Linked DNA regions of Mus musculus: region 1 is reported to be linked to region 2. The links are microRNA targets in miRTarBase. Many come from high-throughput screens and were not tested one by one. Region 2 holds a microRNA gene; the other region holds the end of a gene's coding sequence.
What was found. Region 2 holds the annotated microRNA mmu-miR-291b-5p (GAUCAAAGUGGAGGCCCUCUCC, at 2,059-2,080, opposite strand). A microRNA usually pairs through its seed, bases 2 to 8, with sites in the 3' UTR of a target mRNA and lowers its output. Matches are read on the target gene's strand: a 7mer-m8 pairs with bases 2 to 8, a 7mer-A1 pairs with bases 2 to 7 and ends in A, and an 8mer does both.

Region 1 (5,374 bases), not on the chromosome of region 2:
GAACACACCTCTCCAAGTTCACGTTCTGTGTCTTACCTTGGGCTACTTCATCTTCGACTTGGGCTGGTGCATCTATTTCCAGTCCGAGGGTCCCCTGATGCTGGCTCATCACACACTGAGCATCCTGGGGATCATCATGGCCCTAGCACTTGGGGAGTCGGGCACAGAGGTCAATGCTGTACTCTTTGGAAGTGAGATCACCAACCCGCTGCTCCAGATGCGATGGTTTCTCCGGGAAACTGGCCACTATCACAGTTTCACGGGGGATGTGGTGGACTTCCTCTTTGTGGCTCTGTTCACTGGTGTGAGGATTGGTGTGGGCGCTCATCTCCTTTTCTGTGAAATGGTCTCACCCACCCCCAAGTGGTTTGTGAAGGTTGGGGGTGTGGCGATGTATGCTGTGTCTTGGTGCTTCATGGTTAGCATCTGGCGCTTTGCATGGAAGAAAAGCATCAAGAAGTACCATGCGTGGAGAAGCAGACGGAATGAAGAGCGGCAGCTAAGACACAATGGGCATCTCAAGACACACTAGTCAAGGCTTGTCCCCAGTCAGTGGATTGGATTGAATTGGTCATGGGACCAGGGTCAGAAACAGAGCTAAGCTTATAGGGCTTAGAAAGCGAGCACTTAGGTTTCAAAAAAGGGCTAAAGGTATGGTTATGACTTCAGTCATTTTCCAGGCTAAGCATATGCAGTCTTGAAACACCTACTCCTGTAGTGGCACTTGTACACCCTCAGTGATGATTGACAAGTGGGCAGAGCTGTTTAGTGATGACCACTGTCACTTGTTTTTTGGGTCCCCATGTTCATTGGAGACCTTGGTATTCAGACATCTCTGAAAAGAACTTGAGTCAAATCAGTGCTGTTTCTTGTTCTTTTGGAAATAACTCCTTCCCCACACTTACTCCTGATTTCCACGAGACATTTTAAGTATGTTCATCCCATGTAAAGGGAGGGACTCTCAGGAAGGGGCATGGGTCAGGCATTCAAGTATCTGTGAATGGGAGCTGTTATGCCAAGAGGGACAGAGAGGAGGGAGTGAAGCTAACAATGGCAGGAACTTCTCACTGCGTCTCCCTTCACTAACTGTGCCAGAGGTTACCAAGGACACCCTCGGCTTCCATGATTCATCAAGAAGACTCAGGGCTTTCATCTGCAATGATGAAAGGATACGGAGAAGACTCAGCAAAGGGAAAAGAACCTTTGTCCAAGCTCATGGGATCTAAGCACTCGCTTCTAGTCTCTTGCTTGGATATACAGGAGTGATTCACAACAACACACATGAAAGTCATCAAACACTTGGTGTCCCAAACTTTGATGGCAGTAGGTCATGTGCTTCTAAGTAGCGTGAGGCAACATTCCAGATCCCCCAAAGCGGTCATTTGGCATAAGCCATAGTGTTTCAGAAACAGTTTAGGAACAGTGAGGCAATCTTAACAGTTTCTGGTGGGAGCCCTCACCAACGTTACAAGCAGGCCTTTGCAAGGATAGCAGCTCAGGGTTCCTGTGTTAACTCTGTGTGCACAGAAACTGTAGAGCTAGTGCTTCAGATGCAAGATGAGTGAGATGTGGGTAGATTTAGATTTACTTGGTCCAGTTGTACGGGTTCTGCCCGACCAGGAAGAGTATGCCAGTTCTCAGGGCTTTTGTGAATTAATCTGCTAGGCATGAGAGGCCATGGCTAAATTCCACGGGGATTTACCATGTGGATTCCACTGTACTTGAGATGGAGTTCAGGTTTCAGCTCCTGGTACATACTGCAAACTAGAACCAAAGATTTTCATGTATGTGATAGCCTCAGGCTCCTTCCTTCCTTCCTTCCTTCCTTCCTTCCTTCCTTCCTTCCTTCCTTCCTCCCTTCCTCCCTTCCTCCCTTCCTCCCTTCCTCCCTTCCTCCCTTCGTTTCTTCTTCCTCTACCTCCTTCTTTTCTTACTTTTTCTTTGTTTTAGATCCCCCCCCCCCCCTTAAATCACCTTTTCCCTTCTCCTGAGACACTGTCTTGCTTGTATAGTTCAGGCTGGCCTTGAACTCTATTTTTCCACTTAAGCTTCCTCAGGGCTAGGATTACAATCCTGTGCCACCATGCCTGGCTCCAATGTAGGGCTTTAATGGAAAAAAAAAAGTATTATCTGTTTGTGCATTTGTTGTCTTTCCTATATTATTTAGATCAATGGTGACTGGTTAATTCAGGTGGTAAGCCAGGAGATGGTGCTACTGAAGAAGCAAGGTTAAAGGTCAGAGAGAAGTGTCAGCCCATTCTATAGTCACTGGGGACACTAACCCAGTGAGCAGCATTACCTACAAAAACCAGTCACAAGGGAGGTTGAAAACGTAGACATTCTTGCAAATGGAAAGGTTCTTTAACAGTAAGTAGCTAAAGAGGTATCTTTTAGCTGTCGGGCTTTCGTTTTTGTTTTCTGGACAGATAACACCATGCTTCCTTTTCTCTGATTTGTGTCATAGATATGTTGGTGTGTTCCTTTGAGAAGTCTTTTTTTTTTTCCTTTTTCAGAGCTGAGGACCGAACCCAGGGCCTTGCGCTTGCGAGGCAAAGCACTCTACCCAATCCCTGGTGGTGGTGTGTTCCTTTCCAGCAAAACTGTGGGCAGAACTGGAAACTGGGGAATGCTGACTTCAGCAAAAGCAGAGTCAATAAGAGTGGCTTGGCACATAGGCATAAAGAAAAAAACAAAACAAAACTGGCTTTTGTATTTTGGCCCCGTGTAACCTGCTCCAGACCAGACCAGGGAGCAGGCTTAATCAAATTCATGCTGGTTCCTTTCTCCCTCCCTCCTCAGAAGGAAAGGATTGTAGATCTTTCTGTTTGAGGCAAACTCAAGCAAATGCCTGTAGGTTTTTATTTATTTATTTATTTTTGATAACAAGGCACCTGAACGAGCGATAAGTGGGGAGGAATTCCTCATTTCAGCTCTTCTTGATGGTCTAACTAGTAACTATGAGGAAAGTCAGAGATTAAAAACCTCTTGAAGATGACTCAGCAGTTAAGAGGTTGCCTGTTTTTACAACCCAGGTAAATGAAGGGCAGACTAGTGTGCGATGTGTCCCCAGACACAAAAGGGGACACTTATTTGCATTTGAATTACTGTGTAATCATCCCTGATATTGCTCAAGAAGGATTTATATTTCAATACGATTTGTACTAAATTTTATAGAAATAAAATAACTTTCTATAAACCCAGAGTCTGCCTTCGTATCTTTGTTGCGGTTTTACCAAGGGAGAAAAGCCTCTGGCTTGTAGAAATGTTGACAGTAATCTGCTCTTTAGCATTAATCATTCCTATTTTTTATGTGGAAGATAGCAATCAGCACACAATCAGTGCAGAAAATAGTTTGCCTAAACGTGGAGGAATAATATTCTGATTTTACCAACTGTTTGAGCAGTTGCTCCCCCACCCCCAGTGTCTCAGGCCTGCTTGACAAGTACTCTACCACTGAGCTACCTCCTCATTCCTACTCCCCCTTTTTGAGACAGGGCTTTGCTCTGTAGCACAGGCTGGCCTGAAACTCACCATGTAGCCTTCCTCCAAATTCACAAGTCATCCTCCTACCTCAGCCTTTCAAGTGCTGGGAGTAAAGGTGGAAGCTACCATAACCAGCTAGACAGTGGATTTCTGATGCTTACAACAGTCCTGGGTACAGCAGGCCCTTCATAAGCACATTGAAGCAGTGAATAAGAGGATAAATGTGGCCTCGAGGATGTTCCACTGGAAACTGCATGTCCAGGGATTGGGTCACTGGTGCCACTTTCCTAGGTAAAGGGCTATGTGTGACCTAGGGAAGGGACCTTGGTTTGCTTGGCTCTACTGAAGGCATTCCATAGGTAGACTCTTAGTGGTGAAGTTATAATGAGCCTTTTGTCAGGATATTAAAAAATAAAATCAGAGCCTTGTGAGTGATTAGAGATTTTCATCATTGAAACAGTAGTTATTCAGTCCTCTGCTGACCATCTTCTGAAAGCTTTCCCACAGCAAAATGCCGCCTTTGCTCACAGCTAGAACGCTGGGGCTGTAAAATTTGGAAAGATGTTGAAAACAGCTTGCCAAAAGGTTTTGTATGCAAGGAAGAGAAGGTGAACTAGGAAGTGTTCCCAGTTTGTCTCACCCCTGAAGCTCAAGCATTGAGGCAGGCTGGAAAGGAAGACGGGAACTTATTTTTAAAATTCATGATTTGATGAGTCATCAGACCCCCCCCCCCCATTCGCTTGATACTTGCATTGTGACATTAGTAGGACAAGGGAGAAGAGGACAGCACACTCAAGAAAACTCGAGTAAGCTTGGGGAGAAGGTTCACATCTCGTTTATAGTGATGGATGTTTGGAACTCTTTCCAACGATAGGTAGAAACAAGTTGGAGTCTTCAGGCTAGAATTGCCATGTTGGGATTTACCAGCAGATGGCAACGTGTCCAGGTCTGATCGTTAGGAAAGTGGCTTGGAACTCCAATCTGCTTCTATTCTTTCCAAAAATAAACATTACAAAATTAGCTGGCTGTGCCCCGAACTTAAAAAAAAAAAAATCTAGCGAGAGAGTCATTTCAGGCTTCTGTTTATCTTTTCCCCTTTGCCCCCCATTCTAACGTCACCTTGAGCTCATGCATCTATTCAGGGGTGATGATCCGATCGTTTCGCGAACTGTTGTGGAATGACTTAGAAACAGCATTATTAAGAGGTAATTATTTCCTTTCCACACCCACTGTTTATTAGATTTGATTTCCACAAAATGGCCGAAGTCTCTTCCCACCTACACGGATTGAAGCTCAGAAGAGACTGAAGATAATTGTATAAAAGGAATAGTCGCTTGATGTTTACAGGCAGAATTGGAGAACTATATTGTGTCGTGGTCCCTCATTTCCTCAGGGACAGATTTATTCAATCAGAAAACTACATGGTTAGCTGAATGTCTCTACCCCATCGAAAGAGAAACCAGAAAACATTTGGGAACTCTTCAAAGGGATCCCTCGTGCTGTGCTGTTTACCGGACAGATGTATTACTTCTTCCATCTCTTTTCACAACACGCTTATTAACTTGCTGTGGAAAGCACCATGCGTTCTCAATTTGGCAAACAATACAGTTCATTTTGCCAAGGCAAAACAGCCTAAAAGCAATATTTATATCAGGAACTCCTGGCTTAAGTGTGGGCCCAGATCCTTTCTCCACAGCCTCTTCTGGCCATCCCCCCACCCCTTTCCCCTCCGTGCTGTGGGACTAGGCCAGCAGGTGCCCCAGGTGATTGGCTCACCCCAAAACCTGTGTGTGTGTGTGTGTGTGTGTGTGTGTGTGTGCGCGCGCGCGCAGGTTTGCCTAACACTGTCGGGGGCCCGTGGACCTGGGCTCGCACGCAGTCATCAAAAGCA
Region 2 (5,374 bases):
CTCCGCCCACTTCCAGTACAGTACCCAGAGATCTACCTTTATTATATTAAATTCAAACGCTATCCAGAAGTCCCCTATATCCTCCCCCACACCCTGCTCCCCAACCCACTACTTTTTAAAACCTGGCACCACCCCATTTCAGGTTAGCTTGTAACCATCCAGACACTCCACTAAAAGGAACTGGCCATGATGTATAGAAATGGAAAAGACTCACAGTATATAAACAAATGTGGGCTTAAATGTGGCTATGCTTAAAGGCACCTTTAAGCTAGTACAGGGTAATTCTTCCTTAAAACCATTGGAGGGGTGGCATGCCTAAATCCCAAGAGGCAAACAGGGGTGTCTCCCAAAAGGTGCCCTATTACTGTTGAAAACACTTCCAGCTATGTGTTGGTTTAACTTTTGGGGATTTTTTCAGACAGGGTTTTTCTGTATAGCCCAGGATTACCTTTAGTCTCAACCCCAGTGATTAAAAGGGTGCTTGCATGCTTGCAAGCTTTTTTTATCCCTAGGAACCATGGCGGGTGTTTTAAAACAAAAACTGAGAAAGCAGCAAAATCAAGAGAACAAGACTTTATTATTCATGTTTGGAGGCTGAGGGCACTGGTTGCTCCCATAGCACCTTGGTTCATTCAATAGCACCCACATGTCCCAGTTCCAGGAAACCTTCATCTGGATTCAGATACACACTACACATGCATGAAAGCAGCCGACCTGTGAATGGTGCCCACAGGAGAGACTCAAAAGTAGTAGCACTTTCTATGTACAGTCCAGAAGTGTGCCCCACATTTGAGTCTCACCAAGATGAGCAAGCAAGGAGTCTCTGGTTGATTGAAGTTCCGATGCTTTCTCCACATGGCAACACACAAAAGGGAAGCACTTTCCACTTAAAAGCTTAGATAGGGCCTCCATTTTGAGTATGGCTATATGGAATTTCGCTAGATCCAAACATGCCTACAACTGAACTGAAGATTAAGGATTATTCAATGCCAAAAGGATAAATGCAGCTATATGTAATACAGTACCTGTCAAATCTGGGTCACTTCCCGTGAGGTTCCGTGCACCTCAGCTTTTACTTTTGCCCCATTACAGACTGAATCATACCCACAGATGACACCCAAATGATGCAACACTTAGGCCAACTGCAGTTTCTCAATCGGCAACACTACAAACTCTGCGGCACTTCTTACAAAGAACAAAATGTCACACAGTTTGAGTACCACAGATTGAAGCATTTCCACAGGGACCTGCTGTGGTAATAAACCTGAAACTTTATAGTCAGTTCTTAGCCAGACCAGCCAGCCAGGCAGGTTGAAGGCAAGTAAGTACCCCAGGCTAGGCAGGATTACATTCAACTCAACTGGAACACCTGAAAAACAAAGAGAATCCATGAAGATTATGCTTAGGGCACACAATGTAACACCTGTAATCCCAGCCCTCATGAGCCTGGGCTATTGTAAAGCCAAAAGGTATTATGGGTATTATCTACCCGGCTGTCCACCAAGCTTGTTTGTGCTAGGAGCCAGGTTAAAGTCAGCTACAGCCAGCAGGTCCTAAAAATTCAATCCAACCATATCAAGACTCACAACCATCAGTCCAACTACAGTAGTCAAGCAAGATATAGCAACTACAGTAGTCAAGCAAGATATATAGGATCTTTTAATCCCAGGTGGATGGAGCTGAGGCCAGGCTGGTCTACAAGTGAGTTAGCTCCAGGACAGCCAGGGCTACAGAGAAACCCTGTTTGGAGAAAAAGGAAAAAAATTGAAAGAGGACTTAATATGGCGGCCACGTGAGATTTAAAAGTAGGCCTTTCTTTACTCAGACCTGAGGCTTAGACTCACCACCCCTGGACCTGGAGTGCCTCCTTCCACCCTGCCCTGCTTCCTCCTCACCTCCAGCCTTGCAGCTCGAGTAGCCAGTGGCAACGAATTCACCTCCAGCACACATACCTGTTTCAAGCAGGTAAGCGATTCCAGGTTGCAGCTGCAGCCGGCTTTTCAGACGCCATGTACACACAGAGACAAACAAAATGGATGCACTTTCCCGCCAAGCCGCGGAGAGGGCCTCCACTTTGATCGACACTGTATGTTCCAACTTCCAAGACCTGAGGCTCAGCTCCTCCGAGCGAGGCCCATGTGGGATCCCGGCTCCTTTATGAACGCGGAAAGCCTTTAGTACCGCATGCGCCCAAGTGTTCGGACTCAAACCCACATGTGACACCCACCTGCCCAGAAATGCAACCCCAGTGAAAACATGACCCACTAAAACTTAATTCTTAGTTCTTAGCCGTTTTGAGTTCTCAACCGGTGACACTCAAAACCTGGCGGCACTTTTCTTCCGATGAAAATCCAAAAGAGCCCCCAGTTTGAGTATCACAGGCTGGAGGTCAAGCTTAAGAACAATCTACAATGCACCTGGACTCACGACTGCCTTACATCCATCCGCGTCTCGTGGCACCCAACTGAACCGCCCTCTTTAGGATAGGACCCATTAAACTCCAAGCCTAAACCCCCACACAGGTTGTCCGCTCCTGTAAACCGATGCGTCAGATGCAAAGCTATGATGTTTTCCCCATGCAGTGGCACACAAAGTGGAAGCACTTTCTCATTCAGGCTCAAGAGAGGGCCTCCACTTTGATGGCCGCTACATAGGTGTAACAGCTCCAAGCAGCGACAGGACGCACATGGAGCCCCCAGGTACCCTACAACGACCACCTCAGTTACCGTCTACTGGGCAGGATGCCCATCCCTAGCCTTTCGCTATACTCAGTCTCATTCCTTTCTTCGAATCCGTACTCACCACGCTGCAGTTAACCCGGAACACGTGGCACCAGGGCTGGTAAATGTGCCAGATAGCCGTTTTCTCAACCGGCGGGGCTTAAAACTAGGCGGCACTTTTTAAAGAAAAAAAAAAGTGCCCCCATAGTTTGAGTACCGCAAGATGAGGCGGTCCAGACGTTAAAACATTTACCAGGAGGAAAGAACGTGGAGAACTTAAAATTCACTCCAACCTGAAGGAAACCTGGATGAAATCAAGGAAGAGTTAGTACATCGGTCTAACTCAAGGTATAGTGAAACTCAAAATTTCTACAATGAAACCACGTAGTTAATGAAATGTACTGCATAGACTCCCTAGACCTGCCCTCAGTAACTCCTAGCTTTGGTTTCTGGTCCCCAAACTTCACTCGCGCCCAGACTACTCACTTTCCCCACATAGGCTCGTTCCTCCCTTGAAATTATGTAGACCAAGTCAGAAAAAAAAGCCCAACTCTTTTTCCACACACATTAGTTCTAAATGTCTTCTTTGGAGACCAGACCAACCTCAGATGGGCCTGCCTCTGCCTCGGGATTAGTAAACCCAGCCAAACCGTGGGGGCGAGCGAGGAAGGCTGAGTTCGCGGCTAGCCTGCCTTTTAAAAAAGGGGCTCTAGTTTTTAAAAAGTAGAATGAAGATGGCCGTGATGACCTTTAATCTGGAGGCAGAGAGGCAGGCAGAAATGAGAGTTAAAGGCCAGCCTGGCTAGTCATCTCCAAAGTTGAAGCAGGAAGATCTCTCTTCTGGAAATCCTGGATCTACTTTCGCCTCTCTAAACCAGGTAGATTAAAACCACAGAACTGAAGGAAATAAAAAATCTGAAACTAAAAATATTACCTTTGCCTATGTGAGAAGCAGCACGCCGGAGGTATCCCTGAAGACCGCAGAGACCAGCATTCCCGATGTGGAGTAGAAGTCTCTGAGAGGCGTGGGGGAGGCTCTAGGTTCTTATATAGTCTGAAGGCTCATTGGCCCCCTGGACTGGGAGGCTCTGATACCCCTCCCCCACCCCGGAGAATCCTTACTCTACCACCCTGCTTCCTCTGAGCTGAGTTTCCCTGCGGCAGAGTGACCTTCACTGGTTTCTTCTCCCCCCCACCCCCCAGAGGAAACAGATTTCTTTGTTTGTTTCTAGAAGCAGCGCCTTTAATCCTATAGTTTTCTAGGCCGAGGCTGGAGGATCTTTGTTAGTTCAAGGCCAGCTTGGTCTACTATGGTGACTAGGCACGGGACTAGGCAGGGCTACATTCAGTATTAAGATAATAATAAAAATAAATAAAGGAAGAATGTGGGAGGTTCAGTTTATTCTTTCGTTTGAATTTTTTTTAAATCCAGAGTTTCAAATCCTCCCTCTTTTTTACCTTTCTTTCTTTCTTTCTTTCTTTCTTTCTTTCTTTCTTTCTTTCTTTCTTTCTTTCTTTCTTTCTTTCTTTCTTTCTTTCTTTCTTTCCCACACTGAATATGAAGGTCCAAGAACAATATGATAGAGTTAGTTTTCTCCTATGCTTAAATATGTTTTTTTTGGGGGGGAGGGGGTTCAAGACAGGGTTTCTCTGTGTAGCCCTGGCTGTCCTGGAACTCACTCTGTAGACCAGGCTGGCCTTGAACTCAGAAATCCGCCTGCCTCTGCCTCCCAAATGCTGGGATTAAAGGCGTGTGCCACCATGCCCGGCTGTTTTTCTTTTGTTATTATTATTGTTGTTGTTATTATTATTTATTAAATATCTTTAAATAGCTCCATGGATTGAAATTAGGTCTCCAGGCGGCAGGGCTAAAGCTACAGAGGCATATTGCAGACTTGGAGTTTAGGGTTTGTTTGTTTGTTTGTTTGTTTTTTGGAGACAAGGCTCAAGTACGCCAAGCTGGCCATAAGCTCATTAAATAGCCAAGAATAATTTAGGACTCCTAAGTCTACACCTTGTGTGTGTGTGTGTGTGTGTGTGTGTGTGTGTGTGTGTGTGTAATGGAACATTTTTAAAAAATTAATTTAATTTTTAAAAATGTATTCACCCTACATCCTACTCACTGCCCCCCTCCAGGTCACCTCCTTCTACAATCCTTCCCCCAACCCCAGTCTTCTCCTCTGAGTCGCCCCCCCCCCCCCAGCACTTCCAGTCTGTGGGGCTAGGTGCTTCCTCTCCCACTGAGGCCAGACAAAGCAGCCCAGTTTGACCATCATAACTCCGGGACAGGCAACTGCTTTTGGGATAGCCTCTGCTCCAGCTGTTTAGGACTCACATGAAGGTCAAGCTACACCTCGGCTACATGTGAGCAAAGAGGCCTAGGTCCAGCCCATGTGTGTTCTTTGGTTAGTGGGGACTCATAAGTCTTTGTCTCCAATCTTCCAAGGGCTGGAATAGGCATATACCAGTATGCCCAGTTCAGTCATTAATTCCAGGCATATTTAATATACTTTAGATGTCTTGTTAATTGAACAAACAAGCCTCACCAGCAATTTGCTAGGTCTTAGGCTTGGGGAAGCAGATAGAGATATGGGTTTGGTCAAGTATAATGGCACATTCTTTTAATTCCAGCAATGGGTAGGCCAAGCAGCTAC

Region 1: the mRNA of Tlcd5 is a reported target of mmu-miR-291b-5p. Seed matches in the 3' UTR shown: 7mer-m8 at 1,313-1,319 and 7mer-A1 at 2,876-2,882.

Annotation. Positions count from the first base shown.
Region 1 is chr9:43,106,478-43,111,851 of GRCm38, reverse strand. Tlcd5 (TLC domain containing 5) reads left to right here. Exons shown (of 3, transcript NM_001034863.3): 3 at 1-3,199. The coding sequence ends at 532. Among named protein-coding and RNA genes, the nearest start is that of Arhgef12, 3.4 kb to the right of the region's middle.
Region 2 is chr7:3,216,200-3,221,573 of GRCm38, reverse strand. Mir291b (microRNA 291b) reads right to left here and starts at 2,092; the gene lies at 2,014-2,092. Mir290a (microRNA 290a) reads right to left here and starts at 2,948; the gene lies at 2,866-2,948. Mir290b (microRNA 290b) reads left to right here and starts at 2,879; the gene lies at 2,879-2,936. D7Ertd143e (DNA segment, Chr 7, ERATO Doi 143, expressed) reads right to left here and starts at 2,790. Exons shown (of 1, transcript NR_028425.1): 1 at 559-2,790. It also overlaps Mir291a, Mir292, Mir292b, Mir293, Mir294 and Mir295, and 1 more gene.